3 linked regions of the Nothobranchius furzeri genome follow. The protein of the gene in region 1 purifies or fractionates together with the protein of each later gene. This does not show direct contact. Links are inferred from orthologs where the notes say so. Each region holds a gene or a part of one and is shown on either strand. Other genes may lie near its edges. The genes, in order: smurf1, smad6b and stk38a.

Region 1 (6,740 bases):
TGTGTCTAAATTTTGCCTAAAATGTGTTATTTTGTAATTATGTTGTTTATTTGTTTACATTTTTCCCCTTTAGTCTTTAAAATACCAATATTTGCCCATAACTTCTTATTTTTTGTCTGTTTGATGTCATCATTTTAAAAATATTAGACCAGATGATACTCAGTACTCAAGTAGCCTTCTAATCAGATACCTTTTTACCCTTACTTGAGTAATAAACCCTATATCAGGAAAATATTGTCCTCGGTTTGTGTCCTTCCAGTGAGCTTTGCAGATGTGGGAAAATGTCATCAGGCAGTAATCATTGTTAAATTCATAATTATTCTCGGAGAGAGACCAACTCTTATCTGCCCCTGGGAGCCCCGTAATGCATAGCGTCAGTTCAACATGGGGGTGTCCGCGACACGGTTTATATGCAGGTAGCGGCGCTGCGGCTGCTTTATATACAGGGTATCCGCGGGTCCTTAAAAAGTCTTAAAAAGTCTTAAATTTGCTTTTCCAAATTTAAGGCCTTAAAAATCCTTAAAAATGATAAATAATCCTTAAATACAGTTTCCAAAGGTCTTAAATTACCAAAGACCCAATTAATAAGACTCTTTTATTTCTTTTTTTTTTTTTTGTTGTTGTGAATTTCTAGTTTGTGTTCAGCATTTTTTGTGTATGACATTTGCAAAAGTGGAACCGTACACATTCAGTTGGTTGTGAAAAGGGGCTATTTTTAGATGAGCACATTAGCTGGTTAAGCTAGTGGGAGCTTGCGCCATGGGGAAGTGCAAGTTTAATGGTATCTAGATGGCTAATCCCACGTTTGCAACGTGGTTAGCACCGGTTCCAGGCAATAGCAGGAAATTATAGCTTAAATTTAATTGAAAAAAAAAAAGCTTAAATTGGTCAAAGTGGCCTTAAAAAGGTCTTAAAAAGTCTTAAATTTGGCTCCCTTAAACCTGCAGATACCCTGTATATAGCGACTCGTTGCATTCTCCCTTAGCCCAAATCCTCAGATCACGCATTTTAGCTAAAACGCTAACGCTAGCTTGCCTTGCGTTGACTGTAGAGTTGTGGGTGATGGTCACACAGATGTGTCATGAGATTTGAAGCGTTGCTGCCTTTCACAGACACTTTTTCTGCACGTGCTGCAAACAGGATAGCAGTCTTCTATAAACTGTCCTCCGGCATTCTTCAAATACCCAAAAAATGCCCGTACTTCCCACTTTGTCTTCTTTGAGGGATAATAAATGTCCTGCGCGCTGCCGTCTCCTCCTTTGGCCATTATTTCAGCTTTAGCTTCAAGAAAGTTTTGGTTGTAAACAACAAAGCGCGCATGTGCTGCCGGCAACTTCAGCAGATGATACGGTGGCTGGTAAGGGTCACCGCGCCTACACCGCAGCCACGGTAAACCCACCGAGATCTTTTTTTTTTTTTTAAAAACAAGACTGTTATTATTATTGTCAACTTTTTTACCGGGGTTTACCGCTACACCGGTTACCGTGACAACCCTACTCTCCGGTTGCAAATGTGGTATTCTGGCTACTGGGGCTGAGAGACCCTTACATTAACCCTGTAAAGGGTCATTTTAGCACATGCTGGCTCAAGAAACTTATTTAAAAATGTTTAAAAAATTACATAGTTTCCCTTTAATCTGAGTTTAAGAGTCAAAGGAGAAAATCCATCTTTTAAAAAAGGTGATGGAGAATAACTGGAAATGGGTGACCAGCTGAGCCGTCTCAGCCATGACCTTGGCTGGTGGGAGGTTTTCTCTGAAAGAGCCTGTCTCACACACACACAGAGCACCACAAGAGAGCTGGTCAAGAGGCGGAAAGAAAACGATGAATAGATGCATTTAGAGGTGTCTGTCTCTGGGAGGAGTTTGGAAGATTAGAGGTTTGGATGGCTCAGCAGGACAGAGACGGGAGACAGGAGAGACTTCCTGTATGGATTCAGTGAAAGAAGAGTCAGAGTTCAGACACTCGACTCTTTTCCTCTCTGGGTATTTTATTGTGTCTGATAAAAAGATGAGGTCTGGGGGAGGAATGTGTGAGTCAGATGGAGGAGCAATGAAAGAGGTTGACGAGGAAAAGGGAAGGATATCCTGCAGCCATTCTCCGTTGGTTAATCACAGGAAATAGGCCCGGCTACGCCAGACACATGTACGCCACCTCCTTCATCACATCCCACAGCACAGACTTCTTAGGAAGTCTCAGATCCTGGGAGGAAAAAGGCAAACCGTGAAAACCATTAATATTATTATTCTAATGGTTTTCTAAACTGCTCAGCAAGAGTCTAAATTAGTAATATTTCAATCGCATTTTTTCGCTCCTGATCCGAGTCCAAGTCGCTTGTTTTTGTGCGTCTGCTGGATACAGAGTCCCAGTCCGAGACTTGAGCGAAGCGTTGAAACAAGAAGATAAAAGGAGAACACATCCAAGTTCTCCTTTTAAGTTTTCTTTATTTTATTTATGTATTTCTTTCTGTATTTGTCATTTCCTTAGTCTATCTGCAGAGGAAACATTCAGGAAGTATGTTAGTATGAAAAGTTAATATCACAAGTATATATAAAATGAGCCTTGTCGCTCATTTCAAATTGATTGCGTCCTCAATATGCATCTGTGTTGTATTGTTCCTGAGGCGGGGCGGCGGCATGGCTGGCGGCTCACTTTTCTTTGCACAACACCTACCTACCGCAGCTCAGCTGCTCCAGCAGGCTGAATCCCAACATTTTGTTGTTTGTCACCTATTTTTGATATACCCATATTGTCTTACTCTTACAGGACAGCAGTAGCCCAGTAGGTAGAGTGGGTTGTCCAGTAATCAGACGGTTGCAGGTTTGATCCCGGCTCTGACCAGATAATGCTTCTGTTGTGTCTTTGGGCAAGACAGTTAACCCACGTTGCCTGCTGGTGGTGGTCGGAGGGACCTGTGGGGGCAGTGTTTGGCAGCCCCGCCTCTGTCAGTGCGCCCCAGCGCAGCTGAGGCTACATCACAGCTCATCCCCACTAGCGTGTGAATGGGTGAATGACTGATTGTGTTGCGAAGCGCCTTGGGGGGGTTATAGAACCCATTTAATTTCTGACACTGATATATGCAACTCATAAAAGAACAATAACTAAATAATTTTAGGATAATCGCTTTTTTTTTCATTTCAGGCACAACAAAATATATATATATAAAACATAAAGTGCACAAAAACAAGAAACAAAAATTACCTGAAAAGAAGTGGGATGAAGAAAACTTATTAAATCCCACCCCTGCTCTCACCTCAGACCTATAGTAGGGTTGTTACGGTGTGAAAATGTAACCTCGTGGTTATTCTGACCAAAATTATCACGGTTTTCGATATTATCGCGGTATTTTTTTAAACATGTTAAATTTTCAGGGTTACTAAATAAACAACAAATATTGTCCTCAGTTTGTGTCTAAAATTTGCCTAAAATGTGTTATTTTGTAATTATGTTGTTTATTTGTTTACATTTTTCCCCTTTAGTCTTTAAAATACCAATATTTGCCCATAACTTCTTATTTGTTGTCTGTTTGATGTCATCATTTTAAAAATATTAGATCAGATGATATTCAGTACTCTATGGACAAAAGGAGGAGACGGCAGCGCTCAGGACATTTATTATCCCTCAAAGAAGACAAAGTGGGAAGTACGGGCATTTTTTGGATATTTGAAGAATGCCGAGGGACGGTTGATAGAAGACGGCTATCCTGTTTGCAGCACGTGCAGAAAAAGTGTCTGTGAAAGGCAGCAACACTTCAAATTTCATGACACATCTGCGTGACCATCACCCACAAATCTACAGTTAACGCAAGGCAAGCTAACGTTAGCGTTTTAGCTAAAATGCGTGATCCGAGGATTTGGGTTGAGGGAGAATGCAACGAGTCGCTATATAAAGCAGCCGCAGCGCCGCTACCTGCATATAAACCGTGTCGCGGACACCCCCATGTTGAAATGACGCTATGCATTACGGGGCTCCCAGGGGCAGATAAGAGTTGGTCTCTCTCCGAGAATAATTATGAATTTAACAATGATTACTGCCTGATGACATTTTCCCACATCTGCAAAGCTCACTGGAACACAAACCGAGGACAATATTTTCCTGATTTAAGGTTTATTACTCAAGTAAGGGTAAAAAAGTATCTGATTAGAAGGCTACTTGAGTACTGAGTACCATCTGGTCTAATATTTTTAAAATGATGACATCAAACAGACAAAAAATAAGAAGTTATGGGCAAATATCGGTATTTTAAAGACTAAAGGGGAAAAATGTAAACAAATAAACAACATAATTACAAAATAAAAAAATTTAGGCAAAATTTAGACACAAACTGAGGACAATATTTTCCTGACATACAGGGTTTATTTAGTTGTCTGAAAATGTAACACGTTTAAAAAAAATACTGAGATAATACCGAAAACCGTGATAATTTTGGTCACAATAACCGTGAGGTTAAATTTTCACACCGTGACAACCCTAGAAGTAGCTGCTGGCTCCTGATTCGCCATCCTTTTGAAAATACTGCGGCGTATTCTGGGGAATTTTTGACACAGGCCAGGTTTGAATACACCTTCTGTGTATCCTTGCTCAGCTAGCTAAAAGGCTAACAAACGAAGAACACGCGCCTCGGTAGAACATGAGCAATTTGGAGCAGCCTTGGCGGTTCCTGATGATGTATCTCCTAGGCAACCGGGGTAGGACCAAGACATCAAGGCGAGGTTCCTTGACACTGAGGAACGGACCTTACCTTCCTCCTGAGAAGTTCTTCTCTGCTGGTTGGGTTGTGTGCAGTCCTGGCAGCGACACTGCCCCCGGGTGTTCATGTGCTGCATTGCAGTTAAAAACATCCGAGTTAAGATAAAGAAAAAACCTGTATTGATGATTTTTTAGATAAATTTCAGCTTAAAGCATAACTAATTGTTGGTTTCTGCTGTGATGGGTGTCGTGTTTTAGTTTCTTAGTTTTTCTGCTCATTGAAATTCAAACCTGCATTCTTCCTCCTCCGAATCTTTTTCTGCACCAGATTTCATGGCAGCAGCCCACACGCCATCATTAACTACATGTTTATGCATGTGACATTTTCTTCATACTTTCTCTTTTTGTTTATTGTAGTATTGTGTGCCAAGAACCTCGCAAAGAAAGACTTCTTTCGTAAGTATTTTTACGTCAGTGTTTTTGTAAATATTATTATTTTGTTGCAACAATGGAAACAGAGAGCTGGTGTGTGTGTGTGTGTGTGTGTGTGGGTGCAGGTCTACCAGATCCATTTGCCAAGGTGGTGGTAGACGGATCGGGCCAGTGCCACTCCACCGACACCGTCAAGAGCACACTGGATCCCAAGTGGAACCAGCACTATGACCTGTGAGTTTCCTTTCTGTAAAGATGTTTGACCTTGATGAAAATGTCACAATATATTCAAAATGATGAATGGAACTTGTTCTCCAGCTACATCGGGAAGACGGACTCCATCACCATCAGTATATGGAACCATAAGAAGATCCACAAACGACAGGGGGCGGGGTTTCTGGGCTGCATACGGCTGCTTTCCAACGCCATCAGCAGGCTAAAAGACACAGGATGTAATTCTAATTCGTCGTGGTTTAAAACTTTCCTTTGACTCATTTATCATGACTGAGATTAAAACCCTGAGTTTGCTTCCTCCTCCAGACCAGCGGTTAGATCTCTGTAAGCTGAACCCCTCTGACAGCGATGCAGTCAGGGGTCAGATTGTAGGTAAGACTATTTGTCCAAAACGGTGTTTTTCTCGCGTCGTCCCTTCCTGTCCCTCGCCCTGTCAGCACTTTAATCTGGTCGTTCTTGTTGTTTACAGTTAGCCTACAAACACGAGACCGCATCGGCAGCGGCGGGCCGGTGGTGGACTGTAGAGGCCTGCTGGAAAATGAGGCGTAAGTGTGTTGCCACGTGTTTTTGCTGAATTTATCAAACTCCATCCTGTGAATAAGGTCACCACAAAATTTGGGAGCAAAATATGTTTTCTTACTGGTTTGATCACCGTTAGTTTAAGCTGTGAGGTTTGTTTTCTTTTTGGTGCAGGCCTGTTTTTGAGGGATGTTTCAGCGAGGAGCCGCTCCCCTACTCTGACCCCACTGGTGCTGCGGGAGGCGGGAACTGCCGGCTGGACTCCCCAAATCAGGAGAGCCGTCTTCCATCGCAGCGAATCAGGGGGCAGGACTCCAGAGGTCACGGCCACACCCCTCAGAACAGACCGCACGGGCATCAGCCGCCTGACCTGCCGGAGGGATACGGTTAGTTTAACAGCAAAGGTTTTATCCAACCCAAACTTGACTCAGATAGTTTCTAAGGCCGTTTTATCTGTTTTTGCTTTAAAAACAGAGCAGAGAACAACAGTTCAGGGGCAGGTGTACTTCCTTCACACACAGACAGGGGTCAGCACCTGGCACGACCCTCGGATACCACGGTGAGCGATCACACACTGCTGCTTCTCTCACTCTCCAAACATCACCCATATGGAACTAGGATTGGGACAATTTTACATGTAACTTGTACCAAGCTTTGTAACCCGTAACATGTTTTGTAACTGCAACTTTCGTTTTGTAACACGTAACATTTGGTACATAACTTGAAACTTTCATTTTGTAACTTTCAGAAAAAAAGTCAGTGCACAAGTTCCAAATCACAAGTTTCAAAACACAAATCTCAGTCTACAGTTACAAAACATTTTGTCCCAATTCTAGCTTCCTTCTCAAAGAACCAATGACGGGCTTT
Region 2 (7,284 bases), on another chromosome or scaffold:
TCGTGATGTCACATTAAGGGAAATTAGCATAGAATCCCTCTTACCTGTCAATGCATGTTGGAGCTCTACTTAAAGCCCCTCCCTGATATTCAATTCAATTCAATTCAAAAATACTTTATTAATCCCAGAGGGAAATTGATTAATATCTGTACTCGGTTTGGTGTGCCAATCACAGCTCTCAATCAATTAGGTGGGTGGGATGTTACTGCGACTGGGCAAAAGTAAGATGGCATTGGCTCGTTTGAAACAGCCTTGGCATCAACCTTGAACTTTTAGAATTGGGCTTTTCTATGAGTCAAATGCAGATGGAGATAATTAAAAGCTTTGTTCAGAAATTGGATGTAGTTGTGTCTTCTTTGACATGGTTTGGCGAACTGCCCTGTTGACTGACATCTGTAGCAGTGAGTACATCATGGTGTTTGTTATTGTTATCCAATAGCATGCAGAGAAAGTTTGAAAGACAACTGTAGATCCTGCTTCATAGCTGAGATGAGTCAATGGGTCATGGCCAGACATTCACAGCAGGTTGGCTTGCCAGCATGGATGTTTTTTTTTTTTTTGGAGGGGAGGGACATGTCACCCCCTACTTTTTCCAAAGTAAACTTTTGTCCCATGCACTTTTTACCATCCAAAAATGATATTACGCTAATTTAAATAGACACTGGTTGAGTTCTAGGACCAAGCGGAAAACAACTACTTGTGTTGAAGCCTGTCTCCCATTAGAACCGTTCATAAGCTCATCTATTGGCTTTTCTGATACTTGCTAACATGTGATTGGCCATTCTTGCTGTCACTCCACATTGTTAACAGGATGTGCCCACTTTTTTTTCCAGCTGCCAGGATGGTATTCCAGAAAGAGACTTTAGAACATCTACCTGATAAATCCCTGCTTGACAAAGCGCTCCCCTCCCCTCCCAGTTTCGCCGGCTCCACTAATGATTCTCAGGTGGATTCAATTCCCTATCGGCCTATCGTCAATCAAGGCTCACGCGTGTCCATAGACAGCCCCTGTTAATCGATGCTAGATAAATGAGAATGGAAGTAAAGAACAGAGCCTCGTTCTTCATCCAGACAGAACAAGACTTATTCATCAATCCCTACGAGGACTACAAAGATATCGTAACTAAAATAGAGACCATGAGCTGATTGAAAAAAGCTGTGTAGCTGGCACTATTTAGTTAGAACGCGCATGGACGTAGTTTTGTCTTAAGAAGTGGGGGGATACAACCGACATGGGGGGGGGGGGGCTTTACAGTATGTTCTAATGGGGAACAAGCTTAAACACAAATGGTTGTTTTCCGCTTGAGGACTTTGCTTTTGCTGAGAAGCTGTGAGCTTTAAGAACATACATTTGTGGTGATCACATGACCCTAAAGTTAACACTGTAAATTGTTTATCACAAATATACATTTAGCAAATGTATATTTGTGATAAACGATTGTACTTACTGTAAAGGTTCCCCACCACCCCCAGTCCTCATATCGGTTGTGTCCCCCCCACTTCTAAAAGCAAAACTACGTCCATGCTTGCCAGGCTGCTTGATTGTGCCTACTCCTCCTCCGTTTAATATCACAAAAAAAAAAAAACATTTTAAAAAACTATGGCATTTTTATAGCTTTACGATGTGTGTATTTGTATTAGGGGTTCTAAAACTGATTTTTTAAGACGGTTAGTGAATTAACTAATCACCACATAACATATTACGACCAAGATATAATTTTTGGAACTAAATTGTCATTTTTTGCTTGGTGGGGTTAAAACAGTAAAAACAAAAAACGAAGTCATATTTTGTTTTTCTTTTACAATGCTTGTGCAGAGTGATGAGTGTTATAATTCAATACATTCTCACTCCCAGCGCAATTAATTTACAGGTTTTCTTCAGACTCCAGAAATAAAATAATCACAGATGCTCGCTTCTTTAAACTTCAAGTAAATATATAGACTATAGATAAAAGTTCTTAACTTTGTTTTCTTCTCTCATCAGAAGACGCATCAAGGATGTGAGAGTTTCAGTAACTTTGACTTAAAACCCGAGAGGTGAGTGTTTCGCCTTTAAGAGTTAAGAAACTTGAAACCTTGTTTGCGCAACAATCAGTGCAGCTCATAGCCGCCAAAGTGTCTAGACTAGCACATGATGGTAGTCAGCCAATGGCTCCACCGCTCTCCTCGGGGGCCCCGTGTGTGTGTGTGTGTGTGTGTGTGTGTGTGTGTGTGTGTGTGTGTGTGTGTGTGTGTGTGTGTGTGTGTGTGTGTGTGTGTGTGTGTGTGTGTGTGTGTGTGTGTGTGTGTGTGAGAGAGAGAGAGAGAGAGAGAGAGAGAGAGAGAGAGAGAGAGAGAGAGAGAGAGAGAGAGAGAGAGAGAGAGGAAGACGAGGGGGGGAGTGAAATAAAAAAAGAGCGAGAAACGGAGAAAGAAAGGGATCTGGGCTTCAGTTTGGTTTAGATCTGAGAAGGAGAGTTACTCAGCGCCAGATCAGTCCGCTTCCTCCTCTCGCCTGGATTTTCTTTATTATTTTTTAATTTTATTTTATTTTTGGGGGATTTATAACCAGAAAGAAGTGTTTCGTCTCCAAAAGACAGCAAGGATTTTGGTGCACTTTGTTTCTTCTTGGGAATGAATCGCATTGAAGTACATGCTACCAATTGTACCGGTGACAAAAAGCAGATCTGAAGCCGTTAAAAGTGAATCTGTTTCAGGCTGAGACTGACCGACATGGATTATGTGACTTTCTGTTTTATTCACTCCTAGCAAACACAAACAATCCATTCCGCAGCGATCCTGGAGAAAACACGCTTCCACCCGCCTGGTTGTTTACAGTCTGATCGGCCGAATGCATGCATATTGAACAGAATGCTGCATTGCATTTAATGCATGCTTTTGTTACTCTAGATGCAACAAAATAGCCTCCACTCTAATGTTGCGGTTTCGCCACCAGTGCTCTCCAATTGGCTGTGCAAGCACTGCACGGCGTTTCTGTCACCGTCATTAATGTTCTGCAAAGACACAATAATCTGTGGTATATCCGTTAAATAATAATAACAAAAAACCTAATAGATATTCAAGTTGTCGTATGTTCAGGACGAAACGTTCAGGTCTTGTGCGGCGACTCTGGAGAAGCCGTTTGATCCCAGATAAAGAAGGGGGAGATGGAAATGGCAAAACTAGCACCGGAGACGGCTGTAGGGACGATCTGTTCTGCAACAACCCAGAGAAAATTCCCAAAACGGAGTTCAGACCGATGACCCCCTCTGGCGGGTCTGTAGTCAGGGACGTGGGGGGTGTGTGCTCCATGGAGAGCAGCGGCGCTTCGGACCAAGAAGATGCGGGTGCGATGTGCGTCCGGGAGCAACGAGGGAGCCCCCGCTCCATCCAGGACAGCGAGTGCAGGACAGTAACGTGCTGCTTGTTCACTGACCGGGACCACTCCGAGCTCAGGGCTGCAGAGACGGCTCAGGGCGCCAGAGATCCTGGCTCTTGCCACTTCATGTTGAGGAGCCTCGGACCAGGAGGAGACAGCGGCTCTCCCGAGGCGCAGGAGGCGATGCCGCGCGCGGTGCTGGAGCAGGAGCTGAAATCAGCCACGTACTCCCTCCTGAAGAGGCTCAAGGAGAGGGCGCTGGATACTTTACTGGAGGCGGTGGAGTCCAGGGGTGGCATGCCGAGCGACTGTGTGATGATTTCCAGGACAGAGCTGATTTTGGGCGGACATGTGGCGTCCCCTCAGCTGCTGGCGTGTAAAGTGTACCGCTGGCCCGACCTGCAACAGTCAGCCCAGCTCAAACTGCTGTGTGAGTGCAGGAGCTTTGGGGTTCCGGACAGTCCAACAGTGTGCTGCAACCCCTATCACTACAGCCGACTCTGTGGCCCAGGTAAGGACATCAGCACCACAACCTTCTTCTGCTTCTTTACAGATCAAAAAACACCCCATAAAGACACTGATGACGTTTTTAGTTTATATAACAAAACAAACGGACATCTCATGAGCTATAAAATATTTACAACAGTCAGGAAAAATGGCATTATGAACAGCTCTAATCCATATTTGTGAATAAATGTCAAAATATTGATAATGTCTGATGACAGTTCTGTTTACATTAACATGGCACATATTTGAGGTGATCACTAGTTTAAGGCTTGCAAAGTTCTATTTAACTAACTTTTATGTCATAACAGCGCATCACACACGCTGACCTATTAGATCAGTGTTCATGTTACTCGCAAAGCACTTTTACTGTGAAATCTAGCAGCCAGTATTGGTGGTTGTGAATAAGTGTTGGTCAGTACATCTGCTTTGAGTTCTTACAACTGTTTTGAGTTAGTGTGAACTATTAGACTCATTCTAAGGCTTGAACCTGCTGCCACAGGTCGGTTTATTTGCAGAGAGAGAGGGAGGGAGAGAGAGATCTCTAAGGCACAACCTCCCTGACCTATATTAAAGAGATTAAATGTTGGCTGGGGTTGGCCCGTGATGGAAAACCTGGGCGACTCAACCCCGCTGACCCCCCGTGACGAGGCCTGGCTTCGTGTGTGAAGATGCAAGCATCAGTATTTCTGTCACCTCACTGGCACCGGTGGAGGATTTTCCATAACATCCACATTTATTAGAGCCATGCTCCCCATGACACGCACTCCAAAAGACATGAGGCAAGAAATTATTGGGATCCATATTGTGGAAGGCCAAAGGCACATTGTTTGCCTTTGGCTTTCTTGGTTACTTAATCACAAATGTGTCAGTTCTGGAAGAATTATGATGTTTGAGCTGAATAAATCTGTTCCATCTGCTCGTGTGGATTGGAGGCCATGCTGTGGGATCTTCCTCCCCGACTCAAACCTCCGAGATGATGAGCTGTAAAGCAGAGAGAGGCATGAACCCCATATTGGGACTGAGGCTCGTAGTGGACATAACTCACATGCGCTCATGCGTGGCAAGATAGAGCTGGTATTTCTTTCGCGCTATTTGAAGAAGAAGGCCATTGAATGTGGACCTTAATCACTGCTGCTGACAATGTTTGTAAATGGGAATGGAGGAGAAGTCCCTGAATTGAACAGAATAAGATTGGGTTTGACCAAATTCTAAACACGTCTAAGAAAGCGGTTTGAATTGCAGTCAGGTTGACTTGTTTACGTGTGAGTTTTAACACAGGCAAAGAGCTTGAATTGGACAGAAACTTTTCCCTTTTATTTGGCCAGGCTTTATACTTTTCGAATGAGATCAGTTTCAAGTTGCACTTTAAAAGCCCTTTTGTCCCGAGGAGGTCCCCTCATGCTATTTAGGTGAAGGAGTGGTGATAATATACAGTTTGCATACTGCTGGCGCCAGACTGACTCGCTGTGTATCTGAGTGACTGAGTTCAGATCCTGGCAATTACTGCCGCCACTCTTAAAAGACCCGCTGCTATTATGCTTGCCTCCTTCCCATTTCTCCCCCCCACAGACGAGGTCACGGCATGCTCACAAACTTTTCTCTCCTTTGTGCTGTCCCCCTTGTGCTCTCCAGTCCTGTTTTATGAGATAAAGTCGAGCTGTTTGGAGGCAGTGGCTTTTATACTATCTGCTGTTCACATGCTTAAACCAGAAGAGCAAATGTTCTGTTGGTTTTATGAGCTTTTAAACTAGCTTGTGAACTAAAAGATGTCAAATACATTATGAAGAAGTCTGGTACTCTTGACACTGATCTGTTGTCTCATGTGTTGACGCGACTGTTGTGGCTTGAGTCAAGTTGTGCATGAGTGTCCTCTTCCTTTTCCCTTTTTATGAAAGACTTTGATCACAACTTCAAACAGAATCTCATTCAACGTGTGGTATGCATGTAATGCGTGTAATACTATAAAAATACTCAAGTTTGTCTTGTCAGAACACAAGTCTTTACAGTTTAGTACGCAAAGAAGCAGAGCTAGAAGTCTTCATCCGACATTCTTTAACGTCCTGCTTTATTCTGCTCTGTTTAACTGAAGATTTTGATTTACAGAAGACTTTTCATTGTGTAATTTGGATATTTATATTACTGTTTTGTGTGCAGAGTCACCTCCTCCTCCATATTCAAGGCTTTCCCCTAACGAAGAACACAAGCCACTGGGTAAGAGACAAAAACAATAATAAACTCTGTTACATTTGAAGTCTTTCCATGTATTTTATGTGGTTATGAATGTTTTTTTAATTGATCATGCTTGTTTAATTTGGAAGAGTGCAAAGACTTTAAGGTGTGGAACACTTAAAACACATTTTTAAAATAATTATTCCAGATTATAATCAGTCGCTCTGAGTTTTTCATGCAGGCTGAACATGACAGTCTCCTACACTTATCTCCTGCATTAGCCTCTGACAGTGATGGTTTGGTGAAAATCCTGGTTTTGAAAAGCTCGACAGATCTACATCACAATATCACTAAGTATTAATGGACTCACCCATCGTGACTCGTGATGGGGAATGGTGTTGTGGGTTTAGCGTCCAGGAAACAGCGGATAACATCTTAGCAAGTAGAAGCTAACCATTAGCATGCAAGTAGAAGCTAACCATTAGCATTAGCAACACCACTACACAGCAGAAAACCTCCATGCTGTTATTTGTGGAGATAAAACATAAACTTTGAAGTGAGTGAAAGAGTCGCGTTGCTGTTATCCAATCCGGAGCGAGATGTTCAAATATCAGGAAATAAGACCATTGTCTAAAGCTCAGCTATGATGTGGTTAACAACTAGTTCCTGAAAATGGTGCCCCGGTATATTTTCCCCCCAGGGTATGACTTACAAGGCATTAATTCCTACTAGAAACCACTGCAAACAAATCGATTAAATGGGTTTCCCACACCTTTAAATAAAAAAGTGTGCACAGGTTGAATTACAGTTGGAGAAAAAAAGCTGAACACACTTTTAGGTACCTGATAATATTTTTATAGATCAGTTAAAAACAATTTATATCCATGAATCATGTCTGGAGTAAAAAAGCACCACTTATATAACAAGAACACCCAGCAGTAAGCAGTTGCGGAGGTGTTCTTTGCTGCTTGGAGGATCTGGTAAACACAACTTATTTTCTTAAATGCATGACCATTAAAAAGAAAACACTGTTTATAAGTGAAATCTGGTAATAACTATACTCTCAAGGAAGATTGTGATTCCCAGAATATGTCCTGCTTAGAAACCATCTTTGCCAGTCCTGTACTCACATGTTGTTGAGAGTTTGGTTTTTGTAATCGCAAAACCAGACTGAAGCAAATTGGAAGGACTGAAAAAAAAAAAAAATATATATATATATATATATATATATATATATATATATATATATA
Region 3 (7,484 bases), on another chromosome or scaffold:
TTACTGTGTGACTGTGCTGCTGCTACTCGGTGTCTGACACTGGTGTTCGAGAGACTTCTGGCTCAGGTAGCGGTTCTCCTCCTGTGGCTGGAGTCCAGATGCTGATAAACAGGAAAATCGTTTCCTATCAGGACTCACTTCCAACCGCCGAGCTCTGATTTTAGACCTGCGCTGCTTCTGCAGAGATTAGTTTGTGGGGTTTTTTCCACTCTTTGTGACTGACTTCACTGATGAATAATAAATATTGGTTTAGAGAGCTTGACTCAGTGTGTAAAACTGGTGTTTGAACCCAGATGTGTGACCCAAATCCTCATACATCAGCTGTTCCCAGAAGCAAGAGTCGCCCTAAAGACCCTGAAAGGTGAATTAACATCCATTTGGACTCAGATCTGCCTGTACTTTAGATATAGTCACATCCTCTAAATGGTGATCTGTTGGTGGTGCTCCAGTGCCCTCTGATGGCTGGAAGAGGAAATGTTGAAATTATTTAAATATGTAAATTGTTTGGGGAAAAAATCTATTTCCTTTTATTTGATGATAAAAACAATGTTTTATTAGATGCAGAAAAATGCAACTGGACGTGTCTATTTCCTGAAGACAGTTTTTTATCACTTCAAAATAAGTGATGGAGTCCTAGGTAATTAAAACTTAATTAATGCAAGTTAGTCTGTTCTCTTTAAGAAGTAAATGCTCTGTGGAATAATCACCTGAAGGGTTGTCTCTCCCGTGTTTGTGTGGATGTTCGGTTACCCACTCAGCTCAGGTTTGGGTGCACCTGTTTCTGCCTGAGGGGGTTGTTGGGTCTGAGGAGGACCGGGATGTTCTGTTTGGGAAAAAAATCCCAGTTTTCAGAATCCGGCCACTTCTGAAACGTCTCTGTTTTTACACGTGCAGTCATTTTTGGACCAACGGGGGATTATCAGGCCTTGGAGGACTGATAACCAGCAGGCATGTGACTCGTTAATGATGTTAAACCCACTGAAATGAATCTGTTTGGCTGCTGGACTTTTTCCAACACAGCTGTATTTTCTACATGCCCACAGCGCCACCTGCTGGGTGTTTGTGAACGGTGTGATGGAGATTCCTCTGGAAGGCTGGTCTGTCTTTTATGATTAAACAATAGTTCTCATTAAAGTAATAGAACATATTCGCCTCACGTGGTGGGACTCAGGATGATGTTTTTGTTATAATAAAGACATCTGAACATGATGTGTTTGATCTTGTGTTGAAAAGTTCAGATGACGTTTAAACGGTGATTACATTTTTAGGAAAACCTTCAGGTTGCTAAAACATTTAATTTATGCTCATTACAAATAGTTTTCTAAAAGCAACCATTTAAAGAGTGGGGAGAATATGTAGGATCCATTCGTGCTTTCATTTCTACTTTTAGTTTTTCCACTTATGATTTTTTTTTTCTTGTGAAACCTTTAGAGGATTTATTTACATATTTTTACATCTTTTGGGAAAAGCAGCCAGAGAAAGACTTTCGATCGGCTCCAAAGAGGTTCTGGCAAACTGTCCGGCGCCTCAGGAGAGGGAGGCAGCAACTCGCTCACACTGTTTACAGTGGGGATGGGGAGCTGCTGACGTCAACTGAGGCTATAGTCGGACGGTGGAAGGAATACTTGGAGGAGCTCCTCAATCCCACCTACGCGCATTCCGAGGAGGAACCAGAGCCGGGAGACCTGGGGATGGACTGTCCAATCTCGGGGGCAGAAGTTGCTGAGGTAGTCAAACAACTACACAGCGGCGGAGCCCCGGGGGCGGATGAGGTTCGTCCTGGGTATCTCAAGGCTATGGATGTTGTAGGGCTGTCATGGTTGGCACGTCTCTGCAACATTGCGTGGTCATCGGGGGCAGTTCCTAGGGAGTGGCAGACCGGGGTGGTGGTCCCCATCTTTAAGAAGGGTGACCTGAGGGTGAGTTCCAACTATAGGGGGATCACACTCCTCAGCCTCCCTGGAAAGGTCTACTCCAAGGTACTGGAGAGGAGGGTCCGATCGATAGTTGAATCTCAGATTGAGGAGGAGCAATGTGGTTTTCGTCCTGGCCGTGGAACTGTGGACCAGCTCTATACCCTTGCAAGGGTGATGGAGGGGGCATGGGAGTTTGCCCAACCAATCCACATGTGCTTTGTGGATTTGGAGAAGGCTTATGACCGTGTCCCCAGGGGCACCCTGTGGGGGACGCTCCAGGAGTATGGGGTGGGTGGCTTTCTGTTAAGGGCCATTCAGTCCCTTTACCAGAGGAGCGTGAGTTTGGTCCGCAGGTCGTAAGTCGGACCTGTTCCCGGTGAGGGTTGGACTCCGCCAGGGCTGCCCTTTGTCACCGGTTCTGTTCATTACCTTTATGGGCAGAAGTTCTAGGCGCAGCCGTGGTGTGGAGTGTGTCGAGTTTGGTGGCAGGAGAATCTCGTCTCTGCTTTTTGCGGATGATGTGGTCCTCCTAGCTTCATCCAGCTCTGACCTTCAGCTCTTGCTGGGTAGGTTCGCGGCCGAGTGTGAAGCGGCTGGGATGAGGATCAGCACCTCCAAATCTGAGACCATGGTTCTCGACCGGAAAAGGGTGGCTTGCCAACTCCGGGTCGGGGGAGAGGTCCTACCACAAGTGGAGGAGTTTAAGTATCTCGGGGTCTTGTTCACGAGTGAGGGTAGGAGGGATCGGGAGATCGACAGGTGGATCGGTTCGGCGTCTGCAGTGATGCGGACGCTGAGCCGATCTGTTGTGGTGAAGAGGGAGCTGAGCCAGAAAGCCAGGCTCTCGATTTAACGGTCGATCTACGTCCCAATCCTCACCTATGGTCATGAGCTTTGGGTAATGACCGAAAGAACGAGATCGCGGATACAAGCGGCCGAAATGAGTTTCCTCCGTAGGGTGGCCGGGCTCAGCCTTAGAGATAGGGTGAGGAGCTCGGACATTCGGGAGGGACTCGGAGTAGAACCGCTGCTCCTCCGGATCGAAAGGAGCCAGTTGAGGTGGTTTGGGCATCTGGTCAGGATGCCCCATGACGCCTCCCTGGGGAGGTGTTTCGGGCATGTCCTGCCGGCAGGAGGCCCCCGGGTCGACCCGGGACACGCTGGAGATGTTACATCTCCAATCTGGTCCGGGAACGCCTTGGGGTCCTGCCGGAGGAGCTGGTGGAGGTGGCCGGGGAGAGGACAGTCTGGAGCACCCTAGTTGGGATGCTGCCCCGTGACCCGGACCCGGATAAGCGGAGGAAGACGACGAATATATATAATATATAATTTTTAATAGAGATAAAAATGGCACATGCGATCATATAAAATAAAATAAGTACATTTATATTTTAACAATATACAGTAGAGTAAAATAGATTTAGCTAAGTACAGAAATGTTTGATCATATTATTGACAAAAAGACAAAGTTGACTCATCTGGTTAAATAAAAGTAAATAAATAAATTGACAGGTCCACTCGGAGCCGCTAGGTGGCAACTGAGTAGAAAGCGAGGAGGATGCACCGCCCTCGGTGTAGAGCAAGAGACGCGGCAGATACCCCACCTTCGATCAAGGTAAGCGAACAAAGACTGACATGACAGACGGAATAAACCACTACTAGTTAGCATGGCGGACTTTTAGTTTAGTTCTGAAGTTATTGTTGACTGTTTTCCACCGCATGAAGGTCAGTTTGCACACAAAGACCTCGGGTAGCAAACAGCGTTTACTTGCTAACTTTCACTTAGCTGTTGGCTTAAAGAACTTCTACTTGTAAGACTTGTTTAAACGTATGAGGAATTTCCGGTAAAGACTGTCAAATTAAAAGTCCACTTTATGATTATGCCTTTAAGTCATTGTTGCTTTGTCGAGGGGAGCTTTATTTTGAAAATATTTCCGGCATTGTCATTACTTCTCCGGACTAGCTTGATGAAGCCAAGAACTTTAATAGCTAACTAGCTAGCTGAGTGCTGTTAGCGGGATAAGACGTTTGTTTACGAACCTGAAAGTTAGGGAAAAGTAAAATTTATTATCTCAACAGGAAACCAGGTAATGTTTAACTTCGTGGGTTAAGGACTTTAAGGGATTCCTTCTAATGAAAGTTATCTAACTGCGGCATTACATTCCAACCGAAACTAGCTACGTTTTTTTTCAGGGCTGGTTAGGTCAGTTTAGTGATTATTTAAACTTCCCCTCATTGTTTGCTTTTTACCACCGACTTGTGACTTAATGTTTAATTGAGCAGGAAATAAAACACTTTATTCAAGGTAATTTTGACTTTGAAACACACCCAGTTTAAGTTTAGACCTACTTAACAGGGCAGACTACCTTTTTGCGTTCATGCAAATGTTATGAAGATGTTTTACAGAAGCCTCGGGGATGGGCTGCTAGCTTTGAAGTCGTGGATTCAGTCATTCAAATAGCCAGTAAACTACCAGTGTGAATGTAATTGTTTTTTATTATTTTTATTTTTTTTGTGTTTCCTCGTTTCAAAAAGTCGTTTGCACATAGTAGTAAAATGATGGCTTTTACGTGTTGGTGAAATTGATTCTGAATTAAAAAACCTGCGTCATCTGAAGCTGCTTCTATCCTTTTTGGGATACCTGCATCAGAGCTGGCGCATCCAAACGACTTAAGTATGATTAAATAATTCTGTTGTTTACTGCATTTATCAGTTGACACAGCATTGCTCAATGGCTGCCTTCCTCTTCTTGTTTTAGCCAACCGTTTTCTCATCGTTTAGTTCCAGTTTTTAAGTTCAGCCCAGGTTCATTTTAACAGAGAATTGTTGCTGCGAGCTGGAGCGTGCAGCTTGTTTTCTTTCTTACAAACCCCCTGGAACTGTTTTGAAGTTGACCTCAAGAGGGAAAAAACCCCTTAAAGCTCTATCAGTGTAATCAAATCATATTAAACCTTTTTAAAAAACCCTTCCAGGCAGGTGATCTGTTAACTTGAACAGCTCTGATGCTCTTTAGAAATGTCAGACTTGCGTTTGTGTAAAACGGATCTTGTGACGCTTCCAAGAAGCTAAGAGGAATATTTTCAGTTTTTGGAAGTTTAAGTTGAGTCTGGCTTCACTACCTGGTGCTCAAAAGGTGTAGTCTCTCATTTTCAGGTTTAAACTTCCAAGAGGTTTATTTTTAATATAAATGTTTAGATATGTCGTAATTTTTCTCAGGTATACGTTAGATGATAAATTAGCTTTTTGAATTCAGATCAACTGAAACACAGTTTCATTCCTCGTATTTCTAAAGTTGTTCATCAGAAACTGGACAGATGGAGAGAAGAAGATGTTATTGTTCCAGTTGTGTGGCGTAAAGCTGGGATTCAACCTGTCATGTAACAGGAAATGAACCTGAACTGTCCATCTATCGTTTATCTTCCACGGATATGTAATTTAAGGCTGTAATTTAAGACGCTGCCTGCTGTAATGTTGTATGAGGGCTTGGATTGAAAACGTCAACCGTCTGCCTATAATTACCAGATGTATTATTTATATTTACTGCAACACAGTTTAAGGGGGGGACAGGAAGTTCTGATCACTTTAGTTTTGGTTTTCCAGACAAAGTATGGCGATGACTGGCCAGAGCTCGTTCTCCTCCATGAGTAACCACACCAAGGAACGGGTCACCATGGCCAAAGTGACTCTGGAGAACTTCTACAGTAACCTGATCGCCCAACACGAGGAGAGAGAGATGAGGTAAAACTACTCTGATCATTTTGTTTCCAGAACTAAAAGTTTAAAGGATTTTACCTGCTTGAACATTTAAAGTAGCTGTTTTTCTTCTTGGCTTGAACTCTGACAGAGCCCCGAACAGAGCAGGTGCAGGATTTATTTAAATATTTCTAAACATTTTATTGTTCTATTTGACATTTTTCCGAACTGATTGGTGAAGCAGCTCTGGTTGTTTTAACACGCTGAAGTCATCAACCTGACGTTGGGATTTGTGTTTCTGACTGGAGGATGTGGGTTGTGTCACGGTGAAGTTGGGGCAGGACCGTTTCCTGCTGCGATGAGTTGCATCACAGATTACTCACAAGAGTTGAAACAACAGGCAGCTGGACTTCTCCTCTTGGAGGACGTTTTGCCTCCCATCCTAAAGCTTCTCAGGGTTGGAAGTTCTCACCACAGTCGCATTAACGTCAGCCCATCATGTGACTCATTTGGACCATTATTGTTCTGATGCTAACACACGTGTGGTTTTAGATCACGTGTTTAAGGTGGTACTGCTTGTGAAACCACCCGGTGAGAAAAGTCCAACTGTTGGTTTCACACAGATGGTTTAATGTTGTTCAGCAGAAAGCACTATCACTGTCCTCAGAGGAGCGTCTCTTGTCTCCGAGTTGTAGGAGGACAGGTGAGTGTTGACCTGAGGAGCTGTTACGTGTCACTAGTGAGGAAGTCTGACCTGCTCAGCTCTTGTCTGGGTCAGCCAGTCTCTGTGGAACAATGGGGACATGTTCATCTCCATGCTGGAGAGCTCAGATAGCGGTTCCTGTTCCTCTTGGTGGAACTCTCGCTTGTCTTTGACGTCCTCCTTGGTTCTACTTCTTCAGTTTGACCTAGAACCCAGCTGTTGTCTGCTTATCAGAACCCGTGGCTCTGTGTTATTCCCCCGTGGACTCCAGTTCTCCTTTCCATTTCCACTGTGGGTGGAAGTGGGAACCATCTGTGTGTCAGCAGGTGTCTTTGGTGCGTTGAGTGGACAACAACAAGAGGGTCATTAAATAAAAGTTATGAATTTATTAGATCTAAAACGAGAAGTTGGATAATTTTACTGGATTAGATTTCCTGCTGGAAGGAAGGCTTGACCTTTCCTGGGATTTGGTGGTTTTTAGCTTGGCGCTTAATCACAGCTAGGAACGTGTGTGTGAGTGCAAACACACTTTATTCAATTATGTGTTAGACTCACACATCAGTTGTGTTTGTGTTTAAGTATCTTCTTTAGTCTTAAATGGCTTTTCATGATCTAAAGGTGTGTGTGTGTGTGTGTGTGTGTGTGTGTGTGTGTGTGTGTGTGTGTGTGTGTGTGTGTGTGTGTGTGTGTGTGTGTGTGTGTGCGTGTGCGTGCATGGACATTTTGCTGGTGAAGCACCCTAACACTTGGTCTTAAAGGTATGGTGTAAATTAGCTTTTACTTTAGGTTAGGGTGTGTGTGCGTCCTACACACAGAGGGTCGTTACCCCCTCAGCATCCAGAATGATAACGAATCGCTGGGCTGATTCTATCCGACCAATCGGAGGCTCCCCCTAATGGTAGGCGTGCTTTTGAGCCAGCCAGTCAGCAGTAGGCATGTGGGCCCTGTTCCACTCCAGGCAGACCTCCTCGAGAAGAGGACTGGAAAGACGTCTGTTGGGAAAATTCATGGCTTCCTAAATGCAATTCAAAGATACTTTATTAATCCCAGAGGGAAATTAAGAGTTTCAGTACACACAGTTTTGAGAACACTCCCAACCCGGTCCAGGCGGGGTGGAGCGGATGCGAGTGTGTAAGGACCACAGGAGTCCAGATCCTGTCGTCTGAAGCTGG

The links.
Region 2: the proteins of smurf1 (region 1) and smad6b purify together in Homo sapiens (affinity purification with western blotting; 4 studies listed by BioGRID). This does not show direct contact. The link is inferred for Nothobranchius furzeri from reciprocal best matches to the Homo sapiens genes SMURF1 and SMAD6.
Region 3: the proteins of smurf1 (region 1) and stk38a purify together in Homo sapiens (affinity purification with western blotting; 3 studies listed by BioGRID, with this or other methods). This does not show direct contact. The link is inferred for Nothobranchius furzeri from reciprocal best matches to the Homo sapiens genes SMURF1 and STK38.

What each region holds. Positions count from the first base shown.
Region 1 is NC_091752.1:65,334,722-65,341,461, forward strand, and holds part of smurf1 (E3 ubiquitin-protein ligase SMURF1), read left to right. Parts: intron 1-5,105; coding exon 5,106-5,144; intron 5,145-5,245; coding exon 5,246-5,354; intron 5,355-5,438; coding exon 5,439-5,572; intron 5,573-5,660; coding exon 5,661-5,726; intron 5,727-5,823; coding exon 5,824-5,899; intron 5,900-6,047; coding exon 6,048-6,259; intron 6,260-6,347; coding exon 6,348-6,432; intron 6,433-6,740. UniProt on the Homo sapiens protein: E3 ubiquitin-protein ligase that acts as a negative regulator of BMP signaling pathway. Mediates ubiquitination and degradation of SMAD1 and SMAD5, 2 receptor-regulated SMADs specific for the BMP pathway.
Region 2 is NC_091744.1:65,940,549-65,947,832, reverse strand, and holds the start of smad6b (mothers against decapentaplegic homolog 6b), read left to right. Parts: upstream 1-2,853; 5' UTR 2,854-3,070; coding exon 3,071-3,869; intron 3,870-6,019; coding exon 6,020-6,076; intron 6,077-7,284. UniProt on the Homo sapiens protein: Transforming growth factor-beta superfamily receptors signaling occurs through the Smad family of intracellular mediators. SMAD6 is an inhibitory Smad (i-Smad) that negatively regulates signaling downstream of type I transforming growth factor-beta.
Region 3 is NC_091755.1:45,357,972-45,365,455, reverse strand, and holds the start of stk38a (serine/threonine-protein kinase 38), read left to right. Parts: upstream 1-3,131; 5' UTR 3,132-3,531; exon of another isoform or gene 3,532-3,641; intron 3,642-3,709; exon of another isoform or gene 3,710-4,003; intron 4,004-5,516; 5' UTR 5,517-5,523; coding exon 5,524-5,654; intron 5,655-7,484. UniProt on the Homo sapiens protein: Serine/threonine-protein kinase that acts as a negative regulator of MAP3K1/2 signaling. Converts MAP3K2 from its phosphorylated form to its non-phosphorylated form and inhibits autophosphorylation of MAP3K2.